Saccharomyces cerevisiae S288C: one gene and its partners. Changing the gene in region 1 together with any one later gene gives a genetic interaction. Each region holds a gene or a part of one and is shown on either strand. Other genes may lie near its edges.

The links.
Region 2: mutations in YPC1 (region 1) and HNT3 together harm fitness more than expected from each alone (negative genetic interaction), as found in Saccharomyces cerevisiae (one large-scale study listed by BioGRID).
Region 3: mutations in YPC1 (region 1) and YLR156C-A together harm fitness more than expected from each alone (negative genetic interaction), as found in Saccharomyces cerevisiae (one large-scale study listed by BioGRID).
Region 4: mutations in YPC1 (region 1) and YIL001W together harm fitness more than expected from each alone (negative genetic interaction), as found in Saccharomyces cerevisiae (one large-scale study listed by BioGRID).

The regions. Positions count from the first base shown.
Region 1 is NC_001134.8:594,517-597,565, reverse strand, and holds YPC1 (phytoceramidase), read right to left. Parts: upstream 1,452-3,049; coding exon 501-1,451; downstream 1-500. Other genes in the region: YBR184W (uncharacterized protein), read right to left, coding at 1-203; YBR182C-A (uncharacterized protein), read left to right, coding at 2,011-2,205; SMP1 (Smp1p), read left to right, coding at 2,702-3,049. UniProt on the Saccharomyces cerevisiae protein: Alkaline ceramidase that hydrolyzes phytoceramide and also dihydroceramide into phytosphingosine or dihydrosphingosine. Prefers phytoceramide.
Region 2 is NC_001147.6:809,782-812,824, forward strand, and holds HNT3 (DNA 5'-adenosine monophosphate hydrolase), read left to right. Parts: upstream 1-1,889; coding exon 1,890-2,543; downstream 2,544-3,043. Other genes in the region: TRE2 (putative zinc metalloprotease), read right to left, coding at 1-902; CDC31 (centrin), read left to right, coding at 1,227-1,712; proteasome regulatory particle base subunit RPT4, read right to left, coding at 2,614-3,043. UniProt on the Saccharomyces cerevisiae protein: DNA-binding protein involved in single-strand DNA break repair, double-strand DNA break repair and base excision repair.
Region 3 is NC_001144.5:471,979-474,452, reverse strand, and holds YLR156C-A (uncharacterized protein), read left to right. Parts: upstream 1-1,842; coding exon 1,843-1,974; downstream 1,975-2,474. Other genes in the region: asparaginase ASP3-2, read left to right, coding at 396-1,484; YLR156W (uncharacterized protein), read right to left, coding at 1,996-2,340.
Region 4 is NC_001141.2:352,099-355,981, forward strand, and holds YIL001W (uncharacterized protein), read left to right. Parts: upstream 1-1,841; coding exon 1,842-3,383; downstream 3,384-3,883. Other genes in the region: phosphoinositide 5-phosphatase INP51, read right to left, coding at 1-1,333.

The DNA of each region.
Region 1 (3,049 bases):
TAATAAGGACAAATATCCATTATATCCAAATCTTCCTTTTCCTCATAGCCTGTAAAATTATTAGGTTCGGATACTGTGTGCTCTATGTTGTTATTAAATGTTATTATTGGTCTTTTGTGGTTTCTTAATATTGTTCCACTATCGTATTGAAAGTTTGATTTTTCAGAAGCCAAAATAGCATTCAATACATTATTTTGGTACATGTCCCGAATTAGCTAACAAATTTCTTAGTATTTGTGTTACAACAATTAGAGATTTTGTTTTGTTTATTTACTTTCATCAATTCACGTTATTTTGCCGCCGACGGCTTTGAGACCGCACAAAGTTTTTTTTCACCAGAGCAATAAGCTGGGTCATTTAAACTATTCGCAAATCAAGGATTCAAAAGATCTTTTCTTAGATATATTTTCTTCGTGATTCGTCATTAAATAGAACATGAAATAAAAAAAATAAAAAATAAATATGCCTATACATTATGAATATATATTATGCTATAATTATTACTTCTCCTTTTTAACTTCAATTGATTGATCTTCTACGTATGGGCCAAATAGTTCAAGTGAATATCTTGTTGAGGGTTTGCGCCCTTTCCATATCAGTTCAGGGAAGACTTTCCATCTCCAGATGAACTGGTAATTGCAGCTGACGTTGAGCGTAATGACCCTTAAATGTTCCAAAGAAACAATGTAGAAATAAATCCCCATACCAGTTAATATATGCCACCATCCGTGTGGTTCAAGCAGTACACCAAGTGGTAAAGCCAAAATACTTCTTCTAACGTGCACCCAGAACGAACAATAGTGTATATCAAGTAGCCACGAAATGTAGCCAGATAAGAACAAAATTGCGCCGAGCGCCATTGAAGCCTTGAGATTTCTTTTGGCAAGTGGATCATGGACGTATCTGTACGTCAAACTTCCTGCAGTAGCAGCCACAACTACAATCTGTACGCCAAACAAAATTTGATGGATATCGACATTTTTGTAAATAACGTAGAGTATGCTTGCTGTTGTAACGGCCAGGCCGATAATTACGCCGATGAATATCTGTTCAAATAGAGGAACCTTCTTGTGATTATCTCCGTTAAGTAATGCCTCTTTGGCCTCGCATACTAAACTCCATGTCGGAATGCACATGGCGTATATCATTGGAAGTTCATCCAATAGTTGGAATCTATACTTCAGTGTCATATGAAATAGCCATGATCCTACTCCGACCAAACCGTACCCGAAGCCAATAAGTAAAAACCTTTTTTCTAATTTATTCTTGTAAGCAGAGTAAGTTGTGTAAATCGCTGACAGTATGAATACGCTGTTAGTTAAAGTGTTTGACCACTCGGCAATATAGGGAGAAACGACATAGTTCTCCTCACACCAGTCAATAGTGGAAGTTGTTTCTCCCCAAACGCCGGGGACAGAACTCTCTGGATAGTTCCAACGAAATATTCCCATCAATCTTCTATTTTCTTAAATAAAGATTTCTGCTTTTATTTACAAATTAATCTCTGTAAGTATCGGACCTTATAAAAACCCCTTACACAATAACTATATAGATGTATATAGGATATATAGATATATATATGCAAATATCTTTTTCCTATAAGCGATAAAAATAAAATGCTACCCGAATTCTATTTAGACATATATAACCGGAGACAGATATTTTTTATGTCATGGGGTAGAGTAGTGCGTTTGAAAGTATCAAACAAAAAGTTTCAGGGGCCGGATCTAATCGGCATAAATATTTTCCGATGTCTCGCGTTAAAAAACTTGCGTGATAATCCGTCCGCACTAGTGGGATCGAAAGAAGGGGCGTGGTCAGAAGGGTAACGTTATGTGAAACCCTTGCCTTTGAATCTTTCCTGCTATGCTACGTCGGCCGACACTTCCATTTGAAAAAAATATAAACGATGGTGTTGCCAAGTATTTTTTTTCGCCTTCGTTTAACGTCAGCATTACTAAAAAGGTTAATGGTTGGCGATACTAACTAAAAAGAATTTGTAGAAATGCCATGAAGATTTTCACGCTGTATACCATGATTCAGCAATACTTTTTTGATAATGGCGGTGTTTATAGTATAAAGAATTTTTATTCTGCAGTTCCGAAGGAGAAAATGAACATAATTCTTGTTTCACTTGATTGTGAGCTCCAAAAGCTTGCTCTTAAGCTGTCAAAGAAAACTAGTGGCACTCACACTACGCACTAGCTTTTACACCACATCGTTATTGTTTTCCATTAACGCTTACGTAAATTTCATCTATCATTCTACCTGTACCGTTCCCGATGATAGTGGCTTACAAAACGGCTTGAGGTACAGTTGGTTCGAACTTTTTGCATTATTGTTGCCTTCTTTTTTTAGTAACAAGCGGCGTCTTTGTTTCTTCTGCAAAAATAATCTCGCTCGAGTAATTGGAGGCTTGGCAAAACTTAAATCTCCACGCATACCCGGCTTCCTATGTTCGTGAAGGACTCAAAAACATGAACTATCCTTATCCATCTTTCTTTTGCCAAATTATTTTAGCCAATCTATATAACACTACATCATTCCTTTGAGTCTTTCTTTATCATTCATTCGAAGGGAGAAATATACGAGCCAAATTCAAAGACAGACTATTTTTTCGAGCAGGCCTATCTCATCAGAAAAAAATTTAATAAAGCTCTAGATAAGCAAACACAATTATTTTCAAAAAAATTTCTGCTAAATGGGTAGAAGAAAAATTGAAATTGAACCTATCAAAGATGATAGAAATCGTACAGTTACTTTCATAAAGCGAAAAGCAGGACTATTTAAAAAGGCTCATGAATTGTCAGTACTTTGCCAAGTAGACATTGCTGTCATTATTTTAGGATCCAATAATACATTCTACGAATACTCTTCTGTTGATATGAGTAACCTGCTTAATGTTCATCAAAACAACACTGATCTTCCTCATAATATCATAGAACCATCTGATTATGGTGACTATGTGAAAAAACCACGTGTTGTTCTGAATGAAAGGAAGCGCAGGCGAAGAAGAGCAACCGTGTTGCAACCAGCTTCCCATTCTGGG
Region 2 (3,043 bases), on another chromosome or scaffold:
CTCACTAATTTATCATATTGCAGTAAAAGCACATAGTCCTTCCCATCTTCTATCGTTTTCGAATCTTTTAAATGTTGTAAATCGTATGTTGTACCTTTGCCTCCATAAATCAAGCTCACTTTGGATAATTTCCCGTTAGAACTCAACGGATTGAAATTTTCTTTAGAAAGTTCTAGATCATGCTTTTCATTCTTGTTATCATAATATGAAATTGATACATTGCCTGGATAATTAGAATAAACTGAGTATCCCATTTCTTTAACCAATTTCAACCCATTGTTGTCAAAAGATTCCTGAATGTATCGATAAATAGCTGCATCACCCTTCGTTCCGGATCCATGAGGCATGCTACTAATATATTCCAAATCTCTCTCAAACTTTGCCAAATCCACGGATTTTTTGGCATATTCAAAAAGTATATCGTGTTGAGAAAACATCCCTTTAGATCCTGATGCCTTTTCGTTGAATAAGTAGCCACTTGACAAGACATAATATGCAATAAATGACATGAAAATGATGTAAAAGAACCTTCGAAGTATAAAGGGATTTCCGATTTTACTTAAGTAATAGTCAGCTTTGTCTGGAACGAATTTTGATATTTGTAAGAGTGGATGAATGATGTTTTCCATTAAGGGTTCCAAAATTTTTTCCTGAAACCCAATTGAAACCCTCTGTAGATGTGTTCTTTTGTGAAGATCATCGTGAGGGTCCTCTATATCAAATTCATAAGAAGGTGGTTCAGGTGGAGGCGTTATATTAGTTTCTATACTGTTGTCGTTAGAACTAGGAGGAGAATCATCAAAACGCTGGCTCATCAACAGATTATGGGACGACGACGCAGTAGGTATAGCATTTTCATGTTCAAAGTTTGTAGTTGACACTGGTTGATAACTGCTCCTCATTAAAATTACTTGATCTCAATACCCGGGGGTATTATCTTGGTTTGCAAATTAGTTACAGATTTCAAATAACCCAAAGCTTGATGTATTTCTCTAGTATTGAGAGGCGTTTAGGAAAAGAACAACTTTAATGATGCAGGAAGTACTTGCTTAACTAGTTCTTGCCTGATGCCGTAATTTTATCTACTAAATTTCCAAGAGTTTTGGAGGCTTAACTATTGCGAAATAGAGAGAAAAAAAGAAGAATCCTAATTAGTAAGTATGGAAGAGATTTATTAAACGAGAAAGGAAGTGAACCAAAGAAGAAACGGAAATAAATCATACAGTATGAGTAAGAACAGGTCATCGCTACAGTCTGGTCCACTTAATAGCGAGTTATTGGAGGAGCAAAAGCAAGAAATATATGAGGCGTTTTCATTGTTCGATATGAACAATGATGGGTTCCTCGATTACCACGAGTTGAAAGTAGCAATGAAGGCCCTGGGATTTGAGCTACCCAAGAGAGAAATACTTGACTTAATAGATGAATATGATAGTGAGGGGCGGCATTTGATGAAGTATGATGATTTTTATATTGTAATGGGGGAAAAAATATTGAAGAGAGATCCGTTAGATGAAATAAAAAGGGCATTCCAATTATTTGATGACGACCATACTGGGAAAATAAGTATTAAAAACTTGAGGCGTGTAGCTAAAGAATTAGGAGAAACTTTGACGGATGAAGAGCTGAGAGCGATGATTGAAGAGTTTGATTTGGATGGTGATGGCGAGATTAATGAAAACGAATTTATAGCTATTTGCACCGATAGTTAATTATGACTATATATTTAATCTATAAAAATGATTTGTAACTATATTAGTATACTCCCGTGGGTCTCTCGTTTTCTGTTTTAACTTACATCTTGCCCAAGGATGCACTTAAAAGTGAAAAAGCCAATCTAATCCTGCAGGGCAACAATAAGAGAAGACAATAAAACAAAACACTGAAAAATGTCATGGAGGTATGCGTTAAAAAACTACGTTACCAGCCCAGAAACGGTAAACGATGATACAGTCACATACTTTGATGATAAAGTGTCCATAATTAGAGACTCGTTTCCTAAATCAGAGTGCCATTTATTGATTCTACCACGAACTATGCAGCTGAGTAGAAGTCATCCTACTAAAGTGATTGATGCTAAGTTTAAGAATGAGTTTGAATCATACGTTAATTCTGCGATTGACCACATCTTTAGGCATTTTCAAGAAAAGTTCCGAATAAAGAAGAGTGATGATGACAAAGACCCCTGCTGGGATGACATATTAAAAGACAAAAACAAGTTTGTAAGAAATTTTGTACAAGTTGGGATACACAGCGTGCCTTCGATGGCCAACTTACATATACACGTCATATCCAAAGATTTCCATTCGGTAAGATTGAAGAACAAAAAACATTATAATTCATTTAATACTGGATTCTTCATTAGTTGGGACGATTTACCATTGAACGGAAAAAATTTGGGCACTGACAAGGAAATTGAAACTACGTACCTGAAAGAACACGATTTACTTTGCTGCTATTGTCAGCGAAATTTTAGTAATAAATTTAGCTTATTGAAAAAGCATTTAGAACTAGAGTTCAATAGCCATTTCGAGCTTAAATAAGGCAAGCTTTCTCGCATTTCTTTTTGTTACTGATATACACATACCTATACATACACATGTCTTTTTAACATCATAATTTTTGGTATTCTATAGTGCCTTCCAATTTCTTAACTTCAGCTACTTTTCTTACGGCTTTCATTAAATCATCAGGGTTGATGTGATCACGGTCATCTCTTATGGCGAAAAAACCTGCTTCAGTTGCACAGTTACGAATATCAGCACCATTGAAACCATCACTCATTTTTACAGCAGCCTCGAAGTCAAATTCCCCTGTTTTTTTGACTTTTGCAGTATGAATTTTGAAAATTTCTAATCTGCCGGCCTCATTTGGCAATGGGATTTCAACTTTCCTGTCTAGTCTACCGGGCCTCAACAAAGCAGGATCTAAAGTATCTGGTCTATTCGTAGCCATGATGATTTTAGTCTGTCCAAGATTATCAAAACCATCCATCTGGGTCAACAACTCCATCAACGTACGTTGAATTTCACGGTCTGCTGAA
Region 3 (2,474 bases), on another chromosome or scaffold:
TCTTTACTTGGAGATCTCGCTTAGTCCTCCGAAGGTAAACCCCGTCTCTTATCTTTAAAAAAATGTATCAGACCCTTCAGCACGTGACAGACAGCAAACTACCAGTCGACGAGGATGCTTTTCCGAAAGTCATGACACAAGGGAAGGACTGTAAGATCGATATCGGCGCAGTCTTATCGGATGTTCCAAGTCCTTGTCTCTTTCATTATCTGCTTGCTATCGCAAAAAAAAAAAAATCAATTTGTTTAATATCAACACATAATGTACAAGAACAAATCATGACATACAAAAGCCATATAAGATGAGTCTTCAAGCAGCACCAAGAGGCCTGAGGCAGAGCAAATGTTGGCTCGCTATTCTTTTGTAAGCAATCTGGTACTCACCAACCTCCAACTATGAGATCTTTAAATACCCTTTTACTTTCTCTCTTTGTCGCAATGTCCAGTGGTGCTCCACTACTAAAAATTCGTGAAGAGAAGAATTCTTCTTTGCCATCAATCAAAATTTTTGGTACCGGCGGTACTATCGCTTCCAAGGGTTCGACAAGTGCAACAACGGCGGGTTATAGCGTGGGATTAACCGTAAATGATTTAATAGAAGCCGTCCCATCTTTAGCTGAGAAGGCAAATCTGGACTATCTTCAAGTGTCTAACGTTGGTTCAAATTCTTTAAACTATACGCATCTGATCCCATTGTATCACGGTATCTCCGAGGCACTAGCCTCTGATGACTACGCTGGTGCGGTTGTCACTCATGGGACCGACACTATGGAGGAGACAGCTTTCTTCTTAGATTTGACCATAAATTCAGAGAAGCCAGTATGTATCGCAGGCGCTATGCGTCCAGCCACTGCCACGTCTGCTGATGGCCCAATGAATTTATATCAAGCAGTGTCTATTGCTGCTTCTGAGAAATCACTGGGTCGTGGCACGATGATCACTCTAAACGATCGTATTGCCTCTGGGTTTTGGACAACGAAAATGAATGCCAACTCTTTAGATACATTCAGAGCGGATGAACAGGGATATTTAGGTTACTTTTCAAATGATGACGTGGAGTTTTACTACCCACCAGTCAAGCCAAATGGATGGCAATTTTTTGACATTTCCAACCTCACAGACCCTTCGGAAATTCCAGAAGTCATTATTCTGTACTCCTATCAAGGCTTGAATCCTGAGCTAATAGTAAAGGCCGTCAAGGACCTGGGCGCAAAAGGTATCGTGTTGGCGGGTTCTGGAGCTGGTTCCTGGACTGCTACGGGTAGTATTGTAAACGAACAACTTTATGAAGAGTATGGTATACCAATTGTTCACAGCAGAAGAACAGCAGATGGTACAGTTCCTCCAGATGATGCCCCAGAGTACGCCATTGGATCTGGCTACCTAAACCCTCAAAAATCGCGTATTTTGCTACAATTATGTTTGTACTCCGGCTACGGCATGGATCAGATTAGGTCTGTTTTTTCTGGCGTCTACGGTGGTTAAAGCCTGATCAGTGACTTTTCATCACACTGTGTTTTTATATAGTTCTTAGTAGTAAATATACTCTATAATTTCTACATCCTTTTCATGATGTGCCAGTTAAGCTATTTTTAGCAAACAAAAAGATGAATTTGAGTATTGAGCACATCATTCACTGTTCAGCTGATACAAAACATATGATTTCTAATATTCACATAGGAAAAATCGCTCCAAACATCGAAGTATCATCGCTACTTTGGTCTTTTATCTGCTTCTCTTCTCTTCGCTCTTTTCACTGCTCGTGCCGCTGCAACGCTCCAACTCAGTTCTATCTCAGCTCCTTCCCCTTATCCCTTGAGCAGTGTCAAGGCGAGGCTGCGTGATGTATTCGTGCGCGAAAAAAAAAACAACTGCAGCACCTGAGTTTCGCGTATGGTCACCCACTACACTACTCGGTCAGGCTCTTACCAGCTTAACTACAGTTGATCGGACGGGAAACGGTGCTTTCTGGTAGATATGGCCGCAACCGAAATAGTTAGGTGTGGCAGCCGTACATATGGAAGCCGGGCGATGGCTCCGCCACGTGCAAAGTGCAGGAGCTTTGGAAAGAGCGTGCATATAGTGATGAAAACAGAGAGCACGGTTGCGAACGGAGGGTCTCACAATGTCTCAAAGGATAAATCTCTTGGTTTGCGGGCCGCATACAAGATATGATTGTAGTTTTTTCAATGGCTCTACTGTCCCACTGCTGTACAACAGAAAATGAGAGATCAGAGAAATAGTATTCCGGAAGCCAGTGGTGTTTACTTATTAGTTTTTTGACGCCACTGCGCGAGTTGCTGCCTAGCTGTTCCTTGGCCAACGCATATTGGAACTTCATTCGACTGATATGCTTACTCAGAGGTCCATTACTTCAAGAATTGTCTCACCTATCGGGATTGGCGTTTGTACAAGAAGAAACTTTCATCACCTTTGTTTCGCCACCAAATGAAAAAAAAAACTTGCATGGCTTAG
Region 4 (3,883 bases), on another chromosome or scaffold:
ATTCAAGTACCTCCTTGCTCACTAACCTTTCAACTGTGTTAGGTTTTTCAATTGAATCAAATGCGCTTATTCTTAATACCCCCGTTTGTTTTGCAAAGTAGATGCCCCTAGAGATATCATAGGCAAACGCTCCAAACTCGTAAATATCCTGTTTTAATAAATAAAGTAATTTGTGGGGAGACTTTGTCAGAACGCTTGAGCTGTATTCTATATTTGTTATTTTTATTCCCTTTGATTCAGCACAATCCTTGTACGTCAGTGCTAACTTTTCTTGTGATTCGCTTTTAGGTTTTATGATATTAACGATACTCACAACACCATACTTTGAGGTTAAATTATCAAAATGCCTGTCAAAAGCTCCCTGAGCTTCAATAGAATCTTTTGTTACCTTAATTTTTTTTCCATACAACAGTTGACTTTCTACAGATTCCCAAAAAAGAGGAATGCTTCCGTTCACTTGAGTATAAGAAAAAATAAACTTTTCTGTGGTTACTACAATTTCTGTCTCAACAAATAGCGACACTCTCCCATCTTCACTAATACCCTCCAATTCTAGCGTATCCTGCTTGCTCTCAGTCGAAATTCTGGAAATAATGGTTATAGAGGCTGTATTTGGGCCGTCTTCTATTAATGCTGTCTTGCAATAACCCCGAATTACAAATGTTAAGAACCCTGCGTTGGCAAAAAGTTGTTTCTCCTCATTTGAAATCTTGCTTCTCCAGTTGATTACCTCACTTGCTAAGTTAGCATTCCAAATAAATGATAAATCTTGATTATCTACGGTATATTCTAAGTTATGTGATAAACCATGGTTTTTCACGATATTAGAGATGTCGAAATCTCTAGAATAGTAGAATGTTCCATCACTAAACAGTTTTTTCAGGGGGCCGCAAGGATGCTCATGAATCAATTTATCATAGTTTTGCTCTGATCTCTCGCAGAGGAGGTAGTCGAAAACATCATTTTCTAAGCTGTAAAAGTCAACATCCAATACTTTATAAATGCTCTCCGAAGGCCTAACTTGATGATCTATCAGTTTCCATCGAGGAAACCCAACATTCTGAACACCAGATATGACGGCAACATATATATCACCATTAAGACAAACGAGCCCTAATAATCCATTAAATATGCAACTTTTGACTTCGAGATAGTTACTATCACTTGAAAGATCTGTGTCAGGGTAGGACTTGATTGTTACGCTAGGAGTTTTACTTAATTGACGCTGCTGAGAACTGGCACCTGGTATGCTGCGCAAACGCTGGAAGGATAAACAGTAGTTGTTGGAAGATATTACAATCGACCGTGATCTTCTACCGATGAAGAGTCTCATTGTAGTGAAATGTGCTTCGAATTCATACGATTAACACAACTTTATCAATATTTGCTGACTTAATCCTAGAATGAAATAGAAAGGCTATTTGATTTGTGTAGATATTTGTTCCAACTTTCCGGTTTACAAATGTTTAACAAAGGGATTCGTTTAGCAATTAGGCAATGCTAAACAAGAAGGAAAACAGGAAACCCTGAAGGAGATAAAACGACGTCAAGAATAGAAGATAAAAAAAAAGGGACATTAACAGGTTATATTGAAACTCAATTCCTGCCTAACCTTCTAAATTGAGAATTTAGAAACGGTATCGCTTATTCTGAATTCCTAAAACACCCATCCCTTTTAAGTAAAATAATAATACGTGGACTACGTAGATGTGGACACTCAATTTACTTACTATTCTCTATGGTCATATTGACAATAAACAAAAATACAAGAAAAAAAAAACTACAGGAAAGATTTGTCATAAATTGTACACTACCACTTGAAAACGACCTTTGGCATATTTATGGCAGATAAATTAATGGACAAAAATTTTGAAGAACTGTGCTATTCATGCCGCACTGGTGATATGGACAATGTTGATAGATTGATTTCCACGGGAGTAAATGTGAATAGTGTTGACAAGTTTGACAATTCGCCACTTTTTCTGGCTAGCCTTTGCGGGCATGAAGCAGTCGTGAAACTTCTTCTACAGAGAGGAGCCGTCTGTGATAGAGACAGATATGAAGGAGCTCGATGTATTTATGGAGCATTGACCGATACTATCAGAGATACCCTTTTAAGTTATGATATATCCAAGGCTGTAGATGTCAAGCAACCCTTTGCTACTCATATCTCATCGATGTATAATGACGAAGGCTTCCTTAAAAGAGATATCACATTCAGAGTTTCGAATGGAAAACTGTTCACAGCGCATAAGTTCTTATTATGTGCAAGGAGCGAAATTCTAGCAGAAAAAATGGTGAATGAGTGGGCAAAGCATGAAATTGTTTCTCTTGAAGTGCGCCCAGATATATTTGACATATTTTTGAAATTTCTTTACTTAATTCCGATCCTGCACCAAATTGAACCGGGACAATATGAAGAACTTATAGAGCTATCTAGTAAATTTGATATTGAGTTATTGCCCGAATTTTTAGACAAAGCAAGGCATACCGCCGATCCTACGGAAAAGTCGAGGTTAATGTCAGATTACCAATATAAGTTTACCGAGGTTGCAAGAAGTCAACTTTTAATATTTGTGAACAATTGTATCTTTAGATCTACTGTTGATCTTGCTAATAGTGAACGACGAGTTTTTTCCTTGATGAACTGTCCAGCTTATCCGGATGTTCAACTTATGGTAAAAAACCGAAATGGAGCCATTCGAATATACCCTTGTCACCTGGCTGTTTTGAGCCGCGCAGAATATTTCAAGGTGATGTTCACAAACAACTTCAAGGAGAAAGTTACATATATCAAAGCCAAGCACGTTACAGGAAAGTATAATAGTATCATTCCACAGCTGACATTACCCAATTGTGAGTTTGAGGTTGCCGAAATTATTCTCCGCTACTTATATGCAGATAATACAGACATTCCTTGGATGTATGCCGTCGATGTTTTGTTACTTGCCGATATACTTTTAGAAGACCGCTTAAAAACTATCGCTTCTACAATTATAACACAATCAAAAGAGTTTATTCAGCAATACAATGTTTTTGACGTACTCTATTTATCATGGGAAATAGGAGTGGAACGCTTAGAACAATTTGCAGCTAAATTTATAGCTATACATTTGCAAGAGTTATATAAAGATCCAGAGATTAAAAGGGCAATTATGTTGAGTTCACAACGAATTTCTCTCCGCCAGGAAACTGATACTATTGAACTAGTGGATGACATTAGGTACTATTTGCTCCGAAAATATTCTTTTGAACCGGATGATGTGGAGCTGTTCGAAAACCAAGACGATTTAGAATACCTAAAACAAGTAGGGTATTTGGAGTACAGAAAAGATATGGGTATGTTAGATAATATCCTAGCTGATCTGGAACTTGATGTATAATTCCGCATTCAATAACCTTATGTATTTTTACGCGTCACTGCGAACGGATGAATATTGCCAATGACTGCTGCGCACTCTTAAAAAATATAATGACAATTATAATAAGAAGTATGATACTTTTTCTGTAAAAAATATATATACATATGATTCACGTGAAAATTTTTATATTTTTAATTAAATTTTTATAATATTATAAATTATTATAATATTGATATTTAAAATTAAAAACAAATTATTAATGGTTTTGTTTTCCGAAATGTTTTTTATAATTATTACTTCAGAATAGTTATTTTCACGAATACGAGATACAGGGTAATGAAAACAGGTGTTATCCAAAAAAAAAAATTGATATATTTTAGATACTTTACATACAGAGGCAAGCTTCAGCTGTAGCCAGGTACATAATATTCCCTATAAAGTGATCAATATTTTTTAACGAAAAATTAAAAAAAAAAATCCTTGAATAAAGGAATGAAAATATTGTAACAAGCGATGACATT